Schizosaccharomyces pombe: one gene and its partners. The protein of the gene in region 3 binds, or shares a complex with, the protein of the main gene of each other region. Each region holds a gene or a part of one and is shown on either strand. Other genes may lie near its edges. The genes, in order: rox3, med31, med14 and pmc4. A codon is read from its position in the direction of its gene.

The links.
Region 1: the proteins of med14 (region 3) and rox3 are in contact, whole or in part, in a crystal structure (PDB 5N9J), measured with the Schizosaccharomyces pombe proteins. Residues at the interface, in NP_595813.2 of Schizosaccharomyces pombe: Glu2 (codon at 3,432), Pro3 (codon at 3,429), Pro4 (codon at 3,426), Ala5 (codon at 3,423), Ile6 (codon at 3,420), Tyr14 (codon at 3,396), Ile19 (codon at 3,381), Thr22 (codon at 3,372), Phe23 (codon at 3,369), His25 (codon at 3,363), His26 (codon at 3,360), Val27 (codon at 3,357), Leu28 (codon at 3,354), Gln29 (codon at 3,351), Glu30 (codon at 3,348), Leu31 (codon at 3,345), Val32 (codon at 3,342), Ala35 (codon at 3,333), Leu38 (codon at 3,324), Pro39 (codon at 3,321), Asn43 (codon at 3,309), Val44 (codon at 3,306), Lys46 (codon at 3,300), Lys47 (codon at 3,297), Lys48 (codon at 3,294), Ile50 (codon at 3,288), Leu51 (codon at 3,285), Leu55 (codon at 3,273), Arg56 (codon at 3,270), Arg58 (codon at 3,264); in NP_588304.1 of Schizosaccharomyces pombe: Thr18 (codon at 1,432), Arg19 (codon at 1,429), Pro20 (codon at 1,426), Ala22 (codon at 1,420), Leu26 (codon at 1,408), Leu29 (codon at 1,399), Tyr30 (codon at 1,396), Gly31 (codon at 1,393), Leu32 (codon at 1,390), Leu35 (codon at 1,381), Lys38 (codon at 1,372), Val39 (codon at 1,369), Tyr55 (codon at 1,321), Tyr58 (codon at 1,312), Asp61 (codon at 1,303), Leu62 (codon at 1,300), Pro63 (codon at 1,297), Asn66 (codon at 1,288), Leu69 (codon at 1,279), Arg70 (codon at 1,276), Asp71 (codon at 1,273), Thr73 (codon at 1,267), Trp77 (codon at 1,255), Leu78 (codon at 1,252), Asn80 (codon at 1,246), Pro81 (codon at 1,243), Ile82 (codon at 1,240), Arg83 (codon at 1,237), Glu84 (codon at 1,234), Glu85 (codon at 1,231).
Region 2: med14 (region 3) and med31 share a complex: the UniProt entries of both Schizosaccharomyces pombe proteins name them as parts of the mediator complex.
Region 4: the proteins of med14 (region 3) and pmc4 are in contact, whole or in part, in a crystal structure (PDB 5N9J), measured with the Schizosaccharomyces pombe proteins. Residues at the interface, in NP_595813.2 of Schizosaccharomyces pombe: Ile9 (codon at 3,411), Thr10 (codon at 3,408), Glu11 (codon at 3,405), Gly12 (codon at 3,402), Phe13 (codon at 3,399), Ile81 (codon at 3,195), Val84 (codon at 3,186), Gln88 (codon at 3,174), Lys91 (codon at 3,165), Phe92 (codon at 3,162), Gln95 (codon at 3,153), Phe110 (codon at 3,108), Arg114 (codon at 3,096), Asn115 (codon at 3,093), Ser116 (codon at 3,090), Asp117 (codon at 3,087), Leu118 (codon at 3,084), Thr120 (codon at 3,078), Ala121 (codon at 3,075), Leu122 (codon at 3,072), Ile124 (codon at 3,066), Leu125 (codon at 3,063), Arg132 (codon at 3,042), Gln153 (codon at 2,979), Gln156 (codon at 2,970), Thr157 (codon at 2,967), Ala160 (codon at 2,958), Met163 (codon at 2,949), Arg166 (codon at 2,940), Ile167 (codon at 2,937); in NP_596462.1 of Schizosaccharomyces pombe: Leu65 (codon at 1,945), Asp68 (codon at 1,936), Asp72 (codon at 1,924), Gln76 (codon at 1,912), Met79 (codon at 1,903), Arg80 (codon at 1,900), Thr83 (codon at 1,891), Tyr86 (codon at 1,882), Thr88 (codon at 1,876), His89 (codon at 1,873), Pro91 (codon at 1,867), Lys92 (codon at 1,864), Thr93 (codon at 1,861), Gln100 (codon at 1,840), Lys101 (codon at 1,837), Val102 (codon at 1,834), Leu107 (codon at 1,819), Leu108 (codon at 1,816), Tyr110 (codon at 1,810), Gly111 (codon at 1,807), Arg112 (codon at 1,804), Leu114 (codon at 1,798), Ser115 (codon at 1,795), Lys116 (codon at 1,792), Ser118 (codon at 1,786), Pro139 (codon at 1,723), Met199 (codon at 1,543), Asn200 (codon at 1,540), Tyr201 (codon at 1,537), Pro202 (codon at 1,534).

The regions. Positions count from the first base shown.
Region 1 is NC_003421.2:1,733,701-1,737,127, forward strand, and holds rox3 (mediator complex subunit Med19), read right to left. Parts: upstream 1,613-3,427; 5' UTR 1,484-1,612; coding exon 1,067-1,483; 3' UTR 560-1,066; downstream 1-559. Other genes in the region: CIA machinery monothiol glutaredoxin Grx3, read right to left, coding at 1,727-2,227; dao1 (D-amino acid oxidase), read right to left, coding at 2,906-3,427. UniProt on the Schizosaccharomyces pombe protein: Component of the Mediator complex, a coactivator involved in the regulated transcription of nearly all RNA polymerase II-dependent genes.
Region 2 is NC_003421.2:525,314-528,275, reverse strand, and holds med31 (mediator complex subunit Med31), read left to right. Parts: upstream 1-1,527; 5' UTR 1,528-1,585; coding exon 1,586-2,005; 3' UTR 2,006-2,417; downstream 2,418-2,962. Other genes in the region: protein psg2, read right to left, coding at 1-86, 184-525, 611-674; SPOM_SPCP31B10.02 (uncharacterized protein), read right to left, coding at 2,484-2,915. UniProt on the Schizosaccharomyces pombe protein: Component of the Mediator complex, a coactivator involved in the regulated transcription of nearly all RNA polymerase II-dependent genes.
Region 3 is NC_003423.3:1,995,494-2,001,140, forward strand, and holds med14 (mediator complex subunit Med14), read right to left. Parts: upstream 3,601-5,647; 5' UTR 3,436-3,600; coding exon 796-3,435; 3' UTR 513-795; downstream 1-512. Other genes in the region: pus7 (pseudouridine synthase), read left to right, coding at 1-476; V-ATPase assembly factor Pkr1, read left to right, coding at 4,405-4,592, 4,673-4,883; sdh7 (ACN9 family protein), read right to left, coding at 4,819-4,866, 4,982-5,281; anaphase-promoting complex cullin family subunit Apc2, read left to right, coding at 5,642-5,647. UniProt on the Schizosaccharomyces pombe protein: Component of the Mediator complex, a coactivator involved in the regulated transcription of nearly all RNA polymerase II-dependent genes.
Region 4 is NC_003423.3:3,515,439-3,519,625, reverse strand, and holds pmc4 (mediator complex subunit Med4), read right to left. Parts: upstream 2,166-4,187; 5' UTR 2,138-2,165; coding exon 1,418-2,137; 3' UTR 1,161-1,417; coding exon of another isoform or gene 872-1,160; 3' UTR 830-871; coding exon of another isoform or gene 578-829; 3' UTR 537-577; downstream 1-536. Other genes in the region: TREX/TREX2 complex subunit Pci2, read left to right, coding at 25-522, 578-829, 872-1,160; cell wall glucan 1,6-beta-glucosidase Exg1, read right to left, coding at 3,265-4,187. UniProt on the Schizosaccharomyces pombe protein: Component of the Mediator complex, a coactivator involved in the regulated transcription of nearly all RNA polymerase II-dependent genes.

The DNA of each region.
Region 1 (3,427 bases), on a different chromosome or scaffold from region 3:
GGGAGGTCCTTAGGAATTACAAAAGGATCTTCTCCTCTATATTCTAATGTTAGAGGGGAATGTGTGGATATGGGAAAGCAAATAATTAAATTTGTTTTTGGTTTATATCTATCGATTGTTTCATAAAGTACGATTTTTTTACCTCAATCGTGTTGTAAGCGTGTAAATCTGTATAATTAAGAAATATGGGGTTCGAACGGTGTATTTTATGCAATTCAAGCAATGGTAATTGACATAGAAATGTATGACAAGTTATTTTTTTTGCATCAATCATGAATACTGAAATTACGTCTCTAAAGCCCAGTCGGGTATTTACGATTGATGACTGTAATGTATGGGCAGTAAGTGAAACAATCTGTTTAATTTGGATGATCCAATACCATTTTTTTATGCTGCGGTTCTTTGCAACAGTCCTGCGTAGATCAACTCATATTTTTACTATTTCGACAATTGTTTTACACTTCTCAAAATTGGGTATTATTTAGAAAATACTCTTTACGATGAAATGTATATGAAGAAAAATAACTTTGAAAATGTATTACTAAAATGAATAAAACAACTAGCAACATATAGAACATAAGTTAATATGATTCAGTTAACAACGTTAAGAATACATTAAACAGTAGATGAGAAAAAGAATTTAAGTAATTTGTCTCTTGAGAATCTAGTAGAATCACCGAGATTAAACTATTGAAGTTAAAAGCGACTTCTTAGGAATAAACCTGAGAAAACAAAGATGAATTTTAAAAACGAAACAACGCCATGTAATAAATAAGTTTTCTAGACCGCAAATTAAAGAGTAATTAAATCATTTGGTATTGTTTCCATGCTTTGAAACGATGAAAAATCTCTGAAAACAGCAGATAACTGAACCCGCAGAAAGAGCTTCAAATATTTATCGCTCTTCTGAGTACAATCATTGAGTAATGGAAAGCAGAATCGACAAGTTTCAGTAAAAGCAACAAGTTTAGTAAAATTCGGCAAGAGCATTAAGGATTTGACCTGCAGTTTTAAAGCAAACTTTCACAGCTTTCTAGGATTTGATGAGCAATTGATGGCTCATCAATTACTTCTTTCTACGACTTGGACTACGAGGTTGAGAGGAATCACGACTAACATTGCCCATTACAACGTCGTCTTCAAGGCCAAACACTTTAGGATTAAAACCTGGAATAATGCCTGGCTCTACAGAGAACACATGATGTAAAAATTCAATGTCAATAGGAACTTCTTCTCGAATAGGGTTTGTAAGCCATTGTTTTATAGTATTATCACGAAGAATTTCATTATAACCTGGCAAGTCTTGGATGTAAGCCTTGTACGAACGACGCATCTTTCTCTTGTTACCAAATTCATCGACACGTCCAACCTTTTTAGCAAGTTCCGTAAGACCATAAAGCTCTATTAAATTCTGATGGGCAGAAGGCCTCGTCGGTTGGTAGTCTACACTACCTACATAGTGGTATTCAGGAGCTTGCGCCATGCAAATAAATTGACCAATGTAACAATAAGAATATATTATTGCATTCAAATTTTTTAAATATATATGCAATGAATGCTTTACTCTCTAAGTTGCTTAGCTGGATAGTTTGGAGTAGTGGTTGGTGGTTTAAAGAAGCTATAGCATACTTGGCTAGTATAATTATTGAGTTACTTCCAAGGGTAATCGATTTAACATAAATTGTAATTAATAAATTGCATCAAAACATATATTGAAAAATTAAAATTAGTCGGTAGGTAAAATTAAAACTTTATTATGTGTCCATTCATCCAAAGTAGACTGAAGTTTTTCTTCTTGGTACAGAGCACGGACCGAATCAGATCCACCGATGCTATGACCACCAACGAAGATGTTGGGCATTGTAGATATATCGCTAATGGAAGAAAGCCAGTCTCTTAACTCTTGAGTATGCTCGTAGTCGGTGACTTCTACAACCACTGCTGGAGGATCCAATCTAAGGGTTTCTGTTAGAAGTTTTTTAGCTGCAGCACTATAAGGACATCCAGGACGACTAAAAATGATAACAGGGTTTTCAAGAAATACTTCAAAATCTGTTGAATCCTTAGCAGGTAATTTAGGAGCAGATGGCACTGAGACATCTGAAAGACCTAAAGGTCCTGCCTTTGCATTTTTCTCAGGTTCATTCAGTGGACTGAATATGAAGATATGAATAAGCAATAACGATATTATAAGAGATGTAATAAGAAAAATCTTTCTATTAGCCATAATGGGATGTAAGCTTTCCTTTCTCTTGGTAATTTGTATGAGCTGACGAAAAGCAGCTGATTAATCAAATTATTGTGATTAAAGCAAAATAAAATAATATAAAATGAATAAACTATTACAATTAAATTCCCTCACAGTTGGTTTAGATAGTTACCCAAAACCTGTGGTATGCAAACGGTAGGCTGGTCGCGGATAGGTGAATTTAGGATATTGCGATTGAGGATTGAAAAACTTCTTTAAAGGCCCAAAAATTACTAATTAAGCTACAAAGATGCCACCGTTAATATGAATCAAGCTCAGTCTATTTTAATGCTTCTACAACAAGGGCACGGAAGGAAAGGAACCTTACTTGCTCGCATTAAGGATGCCAAGCACTTTAGTCTTTCAGATTATTCTCAAAAGATGTAAATTTTTTTAAATAATCGTCAAAAAACGTAAAGGTAATGTACAACATTCTAATGCTATTTCATCCTCATGATTTAGCAACTCTCAAAAGCTAATGAACTACTTGTACACGTGTATCGTAGAATTGAAATGCGTTTTAACAAATCCGTTAAGTCTATAAAACATGGTTCGAAATTTGGTATAAAAACTACCTCAAATGAAGCGACCAATTATCCTAATAAAAAGAGGGGAGATAATGCTCTAAAAAATATGAAACGTGATAAAAAAATAAACCTAAGCCAATTTGATTTTAGGAAGAGCCAACATGACAGAGTCAAGAGCCATACCATAACCAGCTTGGTATCCTGTGCCAGAAGCACCGTAATCATGAACAAGGGGGACTGAGGTGCCGGGAACAACATCAAGCTCTACGCGGGCACCACCCTTTCGAGAAGGACGGAATCCGACACATTCTTGAATAATTTCAGCACCCTCCGGACCCTTGCCGTGGAACAATTCTGGCATCAAAGCCGATGTTCTCTTAAGGATATCCAAAGTGTCTTCAGGGTGAATTTCACGATCCCAGTTTCCTGGTTGCATGAAACCGCCGCAAATGACTCCACCATTTAAGGGACGAGGAATAATATAGGTATCAGAGTTCTTGCCATTCAAAATGCGAGTTTCTGTTACATGAGGAGCCTTAACCAAAACAACATGTCCACGAGTCGGATAAACGTCCGGGTCTTCAACGCCACCCAATTTGGAAGCCCAGAGACCAGTGCAATTAAATACTACTGAAGCTTCTGGAGTTTCTTC
Region 2 (2,962 bases), on a different chromosome or scaffold from region 3:
TTCACTAATAGTAACCAAATCGATGGTGACATTCTGGAAACTATCATCATGAAGCCAACCTTTGTTAGCCTTTAACATTATTTCTCCTGAAAAATAGTTAGCAACAATTAAGTGAACGCTTTTAGAAGCAGAAAATCTATCCGCAAGAAGTAATGCTGAATTCCCGCTCCTCTACAAACGAACCTTTTGAATTTTGAACCTTCTTGGTAGCGGCAATCAACCCGCTATCGTTTAAATAGGAAACTACCATAAGAAGATTATCAACTCCAAAGTACAGAGGATCCCATGACACTTTATACTTGCGACCTTTTACCCAACGATCCCCTTGGTTAGGTGCACACATGGGTATATCCGACTGGATATATTTAGAAGGAACACAGTTGTAATAAGCATTAGTCGGTAAACCTTTTGTCGTGGTGATTGTTTTACTAACAGTGCTTTCAGCCGTAGCCAGGTGAGTTCCACTGACTACAGTATACACTTTCGTAGTCCTCAAGTTAGGATTACCGGAAGACGAGGAAAAATCTATAGGTTAGTGTTATGCTTAGTGAATGAAAAAAAAAAAGAAAATCTGGTTAGCAAACAAAGCAAAAAACTCATTAGAACATACAATCTCCTAAAACTACTTGAAAGAAAAGTGAAAACAGAAACACTGATCCACAAATAACTTTCATTGTAATTTAAATGTATGAATGAAAAACTTTAGTAGGGTTCAGACAGTGATAACAACCCGAATATAGAAAAATGACAAAAGCGGTAATATACGAGGATAAAGACCAATTATGCAGCCAAACAGTATTCCTTTCTTGAAAAATTATTGTTTAAGCTTATATAACATTAATACCAACCGGAATTGCTGATTTCACGAGATACTCATAAATTCCGCTGTGTATTGGCAGCGGAAAGGTTTGAAAATTGAACGACTTTATACCTCAAGAGCCGAATATGAATAACAGTTTATTAAGGCCTATATATTGAAAATTAATATTAACTTAATAACATTTTAAATAACCAATGCATCTCTACTATGCCATAAAAATATATTCTTAATCTTATCCGTTTTTTGTCAATTTGATTGAAACTACAGATCTAGAGGGTCAGTTTACTGTTGAAAAAAAGGTTTCAGTGTATTTAATTATAGCTTTCCTTTTGTCAACAAGTCTTATTAAAATTGAAAGTTCTACGCTCATCATCAATACGAAGAAAGCAATACTTATTGTGGATAAAAATGGTATCCACAAAAAATTGAGTTAGACAGCTTTAATGAGCAATTAGAAATTTGAAGTTGACTTTAAGATTTCAACTAAGTTGTTTTGACATTGTTCCAGATTGATTATTAACACTTGTAAAATTAAACAGCTTAAATGGGAGAAACCATTTAGAACCAATTTTTCAACTAGAGAATTTTAATTTAATTAAGAAATAAATTGCCCGTTAGAATTGAATTTGTTTACTCTTTCAATTTTCTACTCACCATTTAGGGAGCCCACTATTCTTTACATATCCCGTAGCGTTACTAGTGGTAGCACCAAAACCAAATTTTACCAAATATACAGATATATGGTCAAGTAATTGTTTCGATTCAATGGAAACAAAATGGTTACTTTCAAAGGTTCCCGATGATAAGAGTCGGTTTGAAATTGAGTTAGAATTTGTACAAATGCTTTCAAATCCATGGTACCTAAACTTCCTTGCCCAGCACAAATACTTTGAAGATGAGGCATTTTTACAGTACCTTGAATATATGGAATATTGGAGGGAACCAGAATATGTGAAATTCATAATTTATCCAACTTGCCTGCACATGTTGACTTTATTAAAAAATCCGCAATTTCGCAACGACATTTCTAGAGCGGATTTGTCAAAGCAGGTTAATGATGAAATTTATTATGAATGGTTAGGAAAAGGTTTGCAGCAATATGGTAGTGCCGACGATGCTACTTTGTCTCAGCCGCAGCAAGAGGAAGATGAAAAGAAAGTTGACGTGAAAAAGGAAAATGAATGAAAAGAGGATGTATGTAGATATTGAGATAGTTATGGTAATATCCACTTACTTTTTTCTCACATTTTTAAATTTCAATATCCAAAATCAAGCAAGATCTCTTATACAAGCATGTACTTGAGAAACTCCTGGACCTATGAAACTTCAATAAGTACAAAATCTTTACGGATCACTTCTGATTGTGTTTCCTGTGCTTTTCAGTTTGCCAAAATGGATTGAATCGGTATGAGATAAATTCTGTTGAAAAGTTTGACTGCAAATTAAAACACATTTACACAATACAGAGTTTTTTAGACTTTTATTTTTGTAAATCATATTTAATGCCATTTTATGCAGTTTCAGAAGTGTTCTGTAAGCATTTAGACTAATAAATAAAGAAGCATTAAGTCTAATTTTTTTGATAATATATCCAAGAAAATCATGTTATTCATACCTATCATATCCTTATCATGAGAGTTATATATTTTTGTTTTTGCATTAATTAGTTGTTTTTAGATTGCTTATCCTTCATTAATCGTTTTTCCAGTAAAACAAAGGCTTTCAACTGAGGAGGTAGCTCTTCCAATGAGCTAGTTTCCTTTAATGAAACCTTTGCTAAATCAGGAGGCACGGGTAAATGTTTATCTAAATAATGCCTTTTTGCTTTTCTTCGTGCACGATTGTATTCCTCAAGGTCATCAGCATACACATCCCAAACACATATAGCGCAACCACTTTGGCAACAATTCAAAGGCTCCTCGGGTTTTGGAGGTACTCTTATGCCATCGTAAATACGACTCACATTCCCTATAGAATAAGAACGCAACGACGCTGGTCCCTCCTCCACTGCTAGAAAAGATACATTGGGCTCTATTTCAAAATGAAATTTTGGTTTTGGTTGTTTCAATAATTCTTTAAACAACGTTAGATGCATAAAAATCACGACTATATACCGTACGTCGATAGAATTTTAAACTAGGC
Region 3 (5,647 bases):
CAAAATTATCAGCTCGTCCGATTGAAGAGGACGAAGTCAATAACTTTAGTATTTACGACATAGTACTTCCTTTACCTGGTCGTAATGTAATATACCCAAAAAATGAAACTTTCGATATATACAAGTCTGTCATGAATGAGGCATCACTTGATCCATTAAATATGTCTCGCAAAGACAGAGAACTTTCATTACCTGGTGATTATCGAAAACTTTTGGTGCGTCCTGAAAATATGGAGTTTAATTTCATAAAGTATGACAATATGGAACAACAACTGATTTTGACGGATAAGGATAGATTGGAGAACCGTTCTATTTCAGTGAGTTCTGAGGTTGGTAAGCACACCGCTGTTACGTTAAAATTTGTACTTCCATCTTCTGCTTACGCTACTATGGCTTTACGAGAAGCTTTAAGAACTGCAACTGCTAGTGGTGATCAACGTATGTTGATGCCAGCGGTACTTAAAGATTCAATATAAAATTTATTAGCTTAAAAGAACACAGCTTTGAATAAACTTGGGATTATGGCGATTATAATAGAAATTCATTTTACCTACGGAAGTTTTTTGCTTATTCATAAATGATTAAGCGTTAATTCGACGATCTCTAATTTACACGTTGGATTATATAAATCACATGTATCATCAATGTAACATTCACTTGTATACTTTAGAAAACGATTTTCATTTACCTCATTAACCAGACATTTTTTGCCGTATTTATATATACAATCACTAATCACTGCCACCGAAAGGAATGGACGGTGGAGGGGGTGAGGATTAAAAGCTTAATATGAGTTCATTTTTTTCGAGAGATCGCTAAAATTCTTTTTAGAATGGCTGTTAAATCAGCCGTTTTGTTCATCTTTATTAAGTGCATCTCGGGAGCGGCCTCAATCTGACCATTAAGCTCATCATCACCCAAGTCACCTTCCCAAACAGTATTAAGCCATGAACAAGGTTCCCATTGAGACGTCAAAGTCTGAGTTCCTTCCAAGTATCGGGAATCGGCAGATAAGTAGGATAAATCTTGGAGTATACATCCATGGCGATTTAAAAGAACTTGAATGCCATGATTTTTGGATAGGATAATTCTGTACTGACGCAGAGATCGAGCCAAAACAACGTAGCCCAATTCTTGAGCTACTAAAACACCTCTCGTTCTATCCATAATTACGCGTAATGGTTGAATAGCTGAGGGCCCATCAGAAAATGTATCCTGCAAAAACTGAGAAATTAGATGAAACGGACTATGTCGATTAAAAAAATGAAGGGTAAAAGTGTTGTCGTCATGAATTGTAGCCCTAAATTTCTCATCATCGAGATATGTAAAGTCCACATGCTTTAACGTGATACAATCTACATTGAATGCAGATGTTTTAGACAAAGCAACAAGTTTAAGTAATCCAATCCATGTTTTTTCGAAAGATGAAAAATTTTGCACACGAATGGTAATACGACCGGTTCTCCAATCTATGTAGCAGTTCTTTTCAGTTTCAGTCTCAGACTGATACGGCAATTTTCCTTTTATTCGGGAGTCAAAAATTAACTGCCCGTCATGCGCGCGAACGAAAACCACAGGAAGCATATCTTCATTAGACGATGGCATCATAATACATAAGCATCCTGTTTGGACGTATGTAGTAAAGTCATCTTCAATTAGGGCTTTTGGTGGAATAGGCAAATATTCAAAAGGCATACCACGAGCTTGGCAAGCAGTTTGAACATTGAATAAAAGTATTTGGACTTCCAATAGGTACGAAAGACGGCTAAAACTTTCAATACTTAAAGTACCTTTTGTAGTATGAACATCTTGGGTGTAGAGAGTTTGACCCGCAGCGTTCAACAATCTAACAGACCAAGAGTTGGATTCAACGTTGTACGCGAGTACCCATAGGGAATCGCCATCTTTTCTCCATTTACCTTTGGAGAATGTAAGATAAGGGAAAGAATAGTAACCTTGAACTGCATGCAACTCAGCACACTGGGCAACTTCTAATAGCTGCGTTTGTATACAAAAGAAATACAACCGATTCAAGATTTGGGCGGGAGGTTGCGTATTCAAAGCAATATTTTTTTCAGCAGCACGAAGATGCCTGGGAGGTGATAAAGGTGAAGCCGAACTCGACAGCACGAGCCTGCCGGTAACGCTGTTCACCTTGACAATTATTTCATTATCAAAGACATGAATTTTTAGACCACCACCAACATGTTCACTAAATATATTTGGGTGAAGCTCCTTACGGATTTGTTCCAGAATAAGTTGAGCGTGTTTTTGGGTAATTAATAATAGTAGATGCTGAGCATCCATATGATCATCTAATGGTACATGTTCAACAATGCCATCATGGTGCCATTCAACGAGTAATAAAAAATGATCATATTCACAACTGGATCTCTTAGAGCTAAGGGTACGCTCAAAGGCGGATATGGGTTGAGTATTTACAAATATATGAATATAATGACCAATTTTTCCGGGTTTTCCTTCTTTTTTCACATTTAATTGGGGCCAATAGTATAGACGTAGCCGTGGGGGCTTTTCATCATAGACACCGCGCAAATGCCCTAACCAACTTTCTCTGGATAGTTGAAAAGTTTGTTGTGACAATAAATTAAGGCGCTGATATAAACAAAATTTATGAAGGATATTATATATTAAAGGTAGGATGGGCTTTTGTAGAACGAATGCAGCAGCGATTTCTTCATTGAGATGCAATTCTATAAAAACCCGATATTTTGCGGGAGTAGAAGAAAAATCAGGAAGATGAAATTGAAAGTCAACAACAATCCACTGGAATGAAATACCGGTAGATTTAGGATCTTGGGAATTGGTTGTCAAAGACACTGAAAACTCATTGGGAACAGTAAATGTGCAACGACCATTAGCAATTGTGAAATGTTGAAATGGTGTCGGAATAATTTCATAAAGACTAAGACGAATTCTAATAAGCATGTTAAGAGCATGAAGGGTTTGAAGTATTTGTTTGGTACTTAGCGGTGATTCAGATAGCATGTATAATTTTGAAGTGGGAGCATTTGCTAGACGAAGACTCGTGCCAGTTGACAAAATATCTAATGCAGTAACTAAATCTGAGTTGCGTAGACGTGCAAATGACAACTGGTAACGAATATCTTGTAACACATGAACTAAATTCTGGAAGCAAAATTTTTGACCTTGAAGAAAGGCTACAACATCTATGCATCGATGAACTGAAGGAGATAGATGTACCCAACGCGCTAAAACTAGCAAACGCATAGTGAAAGCGCGCGAACGTAATAACCAATCTAAGATCTTTTTCTTTTTCTCGACATTTGACATAGAGGGTAGAACTTCGGCTAAAGACACCAATTCTTGTAACACATGATGACTAAAAGTTTCTACTATCTCAGGAAGAGGATAAAATCCTTCTGTAATGTGTGGAATCGCAGGCGGTTCCATCCTCAATTGGAGGAGTTAGGAATTTCGTGTAATAGCGCCTTTAATTAGCCGATCCTTTACCAAAACTAAATTTCGTAATAAACATAAGTTTTGTTCTTTTAAAAACCCTTAAAAAGGATTCTTTATATCTCTTTTACAGAAATCTTCGAGTAGCGTGCCAAAAGCAACTTCACACAGCTCCCGTGAAACTCTTCGATAACCTTCGTTACGCCATTCACTGAGATTGTTAAAACGCCTTAGGTTTATTCATTCAAAAAATTGGAATAATCAATAAATAAGCAATTTTAAATGGAATTAAATAATAATTGATCAATGATATTACTAAAATGGGAGATTTTGAATAAATTTGAGCTAGTATAAACATGCCCTGTTATGCGATAATCGCATAAAACATAGTTTGAAACTATGGATAATGAAGAATAACAAATGAGATGGAACCGTTCAAAAAGATTCTCGTAATTCTATAGTAGTTAAAAAGCCCCTTCTTTAAACTGAACGAAAATCATCATTAAAGCTGTTCAAACTTTGCTATCAATTTTAATCAGAGCTTCAGCGTGTCTCATTAAAATGATAATAAAACAGTAATTTAGAAGAGCTAAGCCGAAAAATAACATTTGTTTTGATCATTTAATTATTTTCTCCACGACCACAAGAAGCTGACAAAAAATTTTTAATATAGCAAAACAAAAGTAGAGCACTATTCCATTTGAATGATTCAAAGCTCTATTAACAATAAATTTGGACAAATGGAAGCATAACCTTCGGTTTTAATAGTAGTATAAGATATGGATTTCTTGAAATCCATTTTAACTTTTAATGAACTCCAACATCGGTCTCGTTGCTAAATTAATTCAATAGCACACGCACACTATAAAGGCCAGATTTTATCGCTAGAACACAAACGGTGGTTTAACAACGTCAATTCATAGCTACTACATTTCCAAGTAGTATTCCAATAAGAAAAAGATCATGTCGTATTGGGTGGAACTATGGGAATCAATTTTCACACCAGGTGTCACACCTGTATTGGCTAAGTCAGCACACGTAGCCTGTGGTGCACTTGTCGCTGTTTTTCTTGGACTTTATATAGGTACAAAAAGTATTCATTGTCTCATCTTATTTTTCCTGGCAATCTGTTTGTGGCTGTCGCTAACATGGTACGTTTATCCATGAGGAAGTTGAACATCTCGTTCACTTTTTTACGAGTAGTCCAGATCATTCATTAACAACTTTATAGGTTTTTGGTTGAGCTTGCACATGCTCGAGTTAATAACGATTTGCAGATGTCGTCTCAAAGTGCCAATAAAAATGACGACAACTCAAACAATCAAAATCCTTCTAATAACAAAGAGATGTCTGATAAAGAATCAGATTCCGCGACCACTACTCAGACTTTTTCTGTTCCTGAAGAGCTTTTGAGAGCTCGTACAACTGCCAATAATAGTTAGAAACTATAGGTCCAAAAAAAGAAGCAATAAGTTCAAGAGCACTGGTAAAAGTTCTCTTCTTTTAATAATAAACCTCAATCTAATATAAGTTTTCTTACCTGTCCGATTTGCTGGTCATTTAAAGATTCTAGTAGATCCGTATTACTGTATTTTTCCTGTTTCCAGCTCTCGTTTTCTAGTGCATCCGCATACCTCTCCCACGAGCTTAAAAATCCTACTAAATGCAAAGGATTTGTTACGTTCCGATGTCTTCGAAATTCCGCCTTTACATATTCATCTCCTAAAGCTCGTTCTTCTGCTCCTAGGTGATAGCGATGCGCTCTCAACACCCTTCGGTACAGAGGCAAAGGAGGTGTCAAAATATTCTTTTGTTTCATTAATTTCGTTATGTTATTCATTGGTATATGATTTTCTTTAGATACCGTCTTTTCAAAAATTGAATTCCTTTTAAGTTTCTTGTTGTGGTTGTGATGTGGAAGGCAGTTTGCTATTCATCGCATTCACACTAACAATTGCAAGGTCTTCTTCTACCAAATGTAAACAATACCACCAGAAGATATACTAGTAGGAAAAGTGAGTGTTCCTTCAATCATTTGTCTTGAAATCTTCAATTTTTAATTCCTTTTTCTTTTGAAAACATTACTTTGTGTTATCGGACTACGTAGAAAGGACTTGTCGATTTGGTATCGATTATTTGTAGTTGCTTGAATTCATTTATTTTAAGATTAAAGTATTTATCAGAAAAAATTAAAAGCATAATGAAT
Region 4 (4,187 bases), 1.5 Mb from region 3:
TATTTCTCACTTTTGTTTTTCTAGTAACTTGACAACTTGCTTCTCCCATATCGATGGAGCATGGTTGTGTACAATTGTAAAACGCGTTTCAAAGCTTTATGTAAAGCTCTCCCTTCAGCTAGATACATCTACACCTACTTTAGAAGATTCTTTTGATGGTAATGGGTTCATACAGAGGAAATACGTGAGCGATGCATCTAGGAACGTCTTACGAACGTTCAATAGTATACTGAGTGATCGTCAACAAAACATTAACCCTTCGAAGAAGGATGCGATATTCTGTATTGCCAATTTACTTTGTTTACTATATTTTCGCTTAAAGCAAATTCGTCTTTGCCAAACTATTCAAGCTAATGTCATCTCTTCGGGTGCCGATATTTCTCGCGCTACAATGGCGGAATTAGTAACGTTTCGTTATTATTTAGGAAGGTGTCATCTTTATCAACGCAAAATTCATCAGGCAAAGGACCATCTACTTTTTTCGTTTCTTCAGTGCCCTGATGAGTGTTATCATCAAAAAAGGTATGTTTTATTTTACTCAAAAATAGGATTCGTTTATATTTACTAATCAAAAAAGGCTTTCTCTAATCTATCTTACAACGTGTTTACTTATATTAGGAAAATCGCCAACAAAAGGGCTATTAGAAAAATACAAATTGACTGCAGCATTCGAACCTTTAATAAAAGCTTTGAAAAGTGGTGATATCAAGTCGTTCAGATTATCTTTGGAGGACAATTCCAGGAGGAAATGGTTTATCAAACGAGGAATATATCTAACTTTATTGGATAGATGTGAAATCATCCTGTGGAGGAATTTATTTAGAAAGGTGTACGTTTGAGATTTTTTAAAATATTCGACTAATTTAAAAAGGTTTCTTTTTACTTTTGAGCAAAGCCAAAAAACCCCGCACGTATCTGGTTCTTACTTGTTAACCGCGGCCCGTTTAAGTACAAATGATAACTCATATGACATGGACGATGTCGAATGTATCTGTGTTTCTCTAATTGACCAAGGATATATTAAAGGTTATATCATTCATGCATCATCAACTTTAGTCCTTAAAAAAGACCCATCGTTCGGTTTTTCTGTAATAGAGAGCCTTATGCCCATAGCAAGGAATGATCACGCAGAAAAGGAATTTTTTCATGCTAACGCATAATTAAATGAACTCAGAAAACGTAGATTGTTCGAAAATTATACTTAAAATTAATTAAATTTGAATTGACAAATGTTAAGCAAGGAACAGTGTTCAATCATCTTGCTTTGCGAAGTCTGAAAGCTAAATAAATACAGTCTAAACGGCAAAGCGTAATTTTATTCATTTTTAAAACAAAAGGGTATTTGGTCAAAGCAAAAAACTCTATAATTAGAAAAGTAAAATACCAGATATCACTTGACAAATAACACAATTTAGAATCAAAAATCTTCTTCCATTTCTGGATCAAAAAGATCAAATCCTGCAAAGACATCCTTATTAGCTGGCGATTCTACTTCTTTATTTTCCTCTTGCGTAGTGAATGTTGGAGAGGCAGGATAATTCATTTTAGTTTTTTCTTCAACGGCTTTGTTCGCATCAATTTCTGTTTCTGTTTCCGTTGGCTCGTTCGTCTTTGGAGGCTGTTCAGAAAATAATTGGGACGCTGTAGCCGATAAATTTGGAACCATGCTAGTTGAAAACTGAAACAACAGAGTTTTTCGCATCTGGTCCTCCGATGGCCAAGGATAATGCACAGGAGCTTTTGCATCTTGACCCGTCTCGGGATTGTACCCAGGAGGTGCAGAGGAAAACTTGGAAAGTTTTCTACCATAATCAAGGAGTGTTTCAGCATTAACTTTTTGTCGTTTTCTCCCCGACACTGTTTTTGGAAGATGGGTATCATAAATTGAGGTCATTTCTCTCATGCAGTCTTGAATTTGTAAATCCAGTTCCTTATCCTGCTTCAGCAAAGAACTAATTTCATTTTGTAATTCTCTACCATTTGTGTAATTTGATATTAAAGAGTGTAAGGTTTTCAAGTGGCCTACTAATGAGGTCCAGTTTTCTATTAGTACATATTGGTCAACCTTTTCGGATGACAGTCTTAACTGTTTATTGAGACATTCTTCAATAGAATCAATGGCTCTTTGATATTCCATTGGGGAGCATATGTGATTACTATATACTAACTACTCAACAATTGCTCGATCATCTAGTAGGTCAGGTTACAGTTATTTTGCAGACTCGACTTTTTACTCCTTAAACATCCGTAACCGTTAGTTAAACAGACATCCTTAAAAGGTTTAATGTGCTAAAACACGGTAAATTACAGTAATGTCCTCCTCCACAAGGGCAATAAGTAGCAGCTGGTATATACGCTCGACGAACAATACTTAAGTTACTCTCGATTAAATAGAATTAGTCAATTTAATTCTGTATATGATTTTAATTGTTTAAATTGTCTAACAAATTTCACTAATTTGGGCAAGAAGAAAGCTATTATTCGTATAAATTAGTCGACAAACTACGTTACATTTACAGTGTAACAATTTTGATCTTGTTAGGGACAACATAATGAATACATACTAGTGAATTAGATATCTCATTAAATTAAAAAAGCGAGTTCGTTAAAGAATGCTTAATGAGCTTATTTCGTTTAATGCGTATAAAGCCTATATCAGATCAGAAAATGTGTAATATTACTTTACCAAGAAATCGCTCAATTTAAATGTAATTTTTATAAAAGTATTTTAAACATATGTCACCTGTGGCTGAGTGAAAACCTATTCTGTCGATTTGCTTTTCCGAGACTAACTCAAAGTGGTCCGTCTATGTGGCTCAATACTGACTTATAAGAGTAGAGCAGAAAATACATTTCATATAAGTAAACTGAAGATACTTGATAATTGAAAATTCAATTGGACAACTTTAAAAAGATTTCTCGGTCAACTTTCTCCAAAGTACAGCTACTGTTAATATAGAGTTCGAAAAAATATGCAATATTGAACGTAAACTATTAAGCTAAATATTAATTTAGTAGGAACTTGCTACCAAAATATTAATATCACATAACTAAAAGATTTCGAAAACAACAATATATATTAAAAACTAATGTCTAAAGATAATGCCAAACAAACAAAGACTGAATGGATAGTAGATAGCAGCACGTTAAATGATAGTAGATGATAAATGCAAGGACAGGACATGACAACGATGTGTGAGATATAAATTAGTGTTATACAGCTAGAATAGATAAAATTTTTTTTTAACTTTGATATGGCTTTGCTTAACCGCAGTAAGAGCTATATTGTCTATCAGTGAAAGGTTGAGGGAATACGCCGTATTCAATAAGTAATCCCATATCCCAAGTAGGACTTGGTCCACCAGTTTTAGCAGTCCAGTAAATCCAACCAGCACCGCGTTCAAATTGATCTAACTGAGTTTCGATAAACAGACGAACAGCTCCCTTATATTCATCCGTCCAAGTGGAAATATCACCGCTGTTTGGTCCAATAAATGTCGAAGAGTCAACTCCTTCTTCGAAAATCGTGCAGTCTGCTAAAGTTCCGGACCATTCGCCAGTAACAGTAATGTAGGGAGAGGAAGCAATGGAATCACCAATGGAGCAAACATCTGAAAGATGATCATCGAGAGTCTTTGAGCACTCATCCGACTCGTAAAGTTGATAACGATGGACATCCATAACAAGATTGTATGAAGAAGGAGATACAACACCATAATCCCAAATAGAAAGATCAACATAGGCATCGTGAATGATAGTAGCAACAGAGCTGGAAAGAGGATTGACGATATTATAGGCATCTAAATCGTATTGCTTAAGTTGATCCATATCCAGACCATAGCCCAAAGGCTCATTTACCGTCTCAATTCCAATAACCACGCTGGCATATTGAGATTGGGTATACTTATTAGCAACATAGGTAATAATGTCAAGAGTACGAGTTACAGTGTCATTTTGCTGCCATCCAATGGAACCAGTCTTACCAGAGTTTTCAAATCCATTTTGGCTGCCTGGAACACCATGCAAGTCAATCCAAACCTTAAGGCCATATTGTTCAGCCCAAGTAAGAGCTTGATCGAGCCAGTACTCTTGCCCTTGAACATATGGTTCGCCGTCTACCACATTAAAGGCCCAATACCCAATAGGAATACGCAAAACATTAACACCCCAAGAAGCTATAGTAGCGA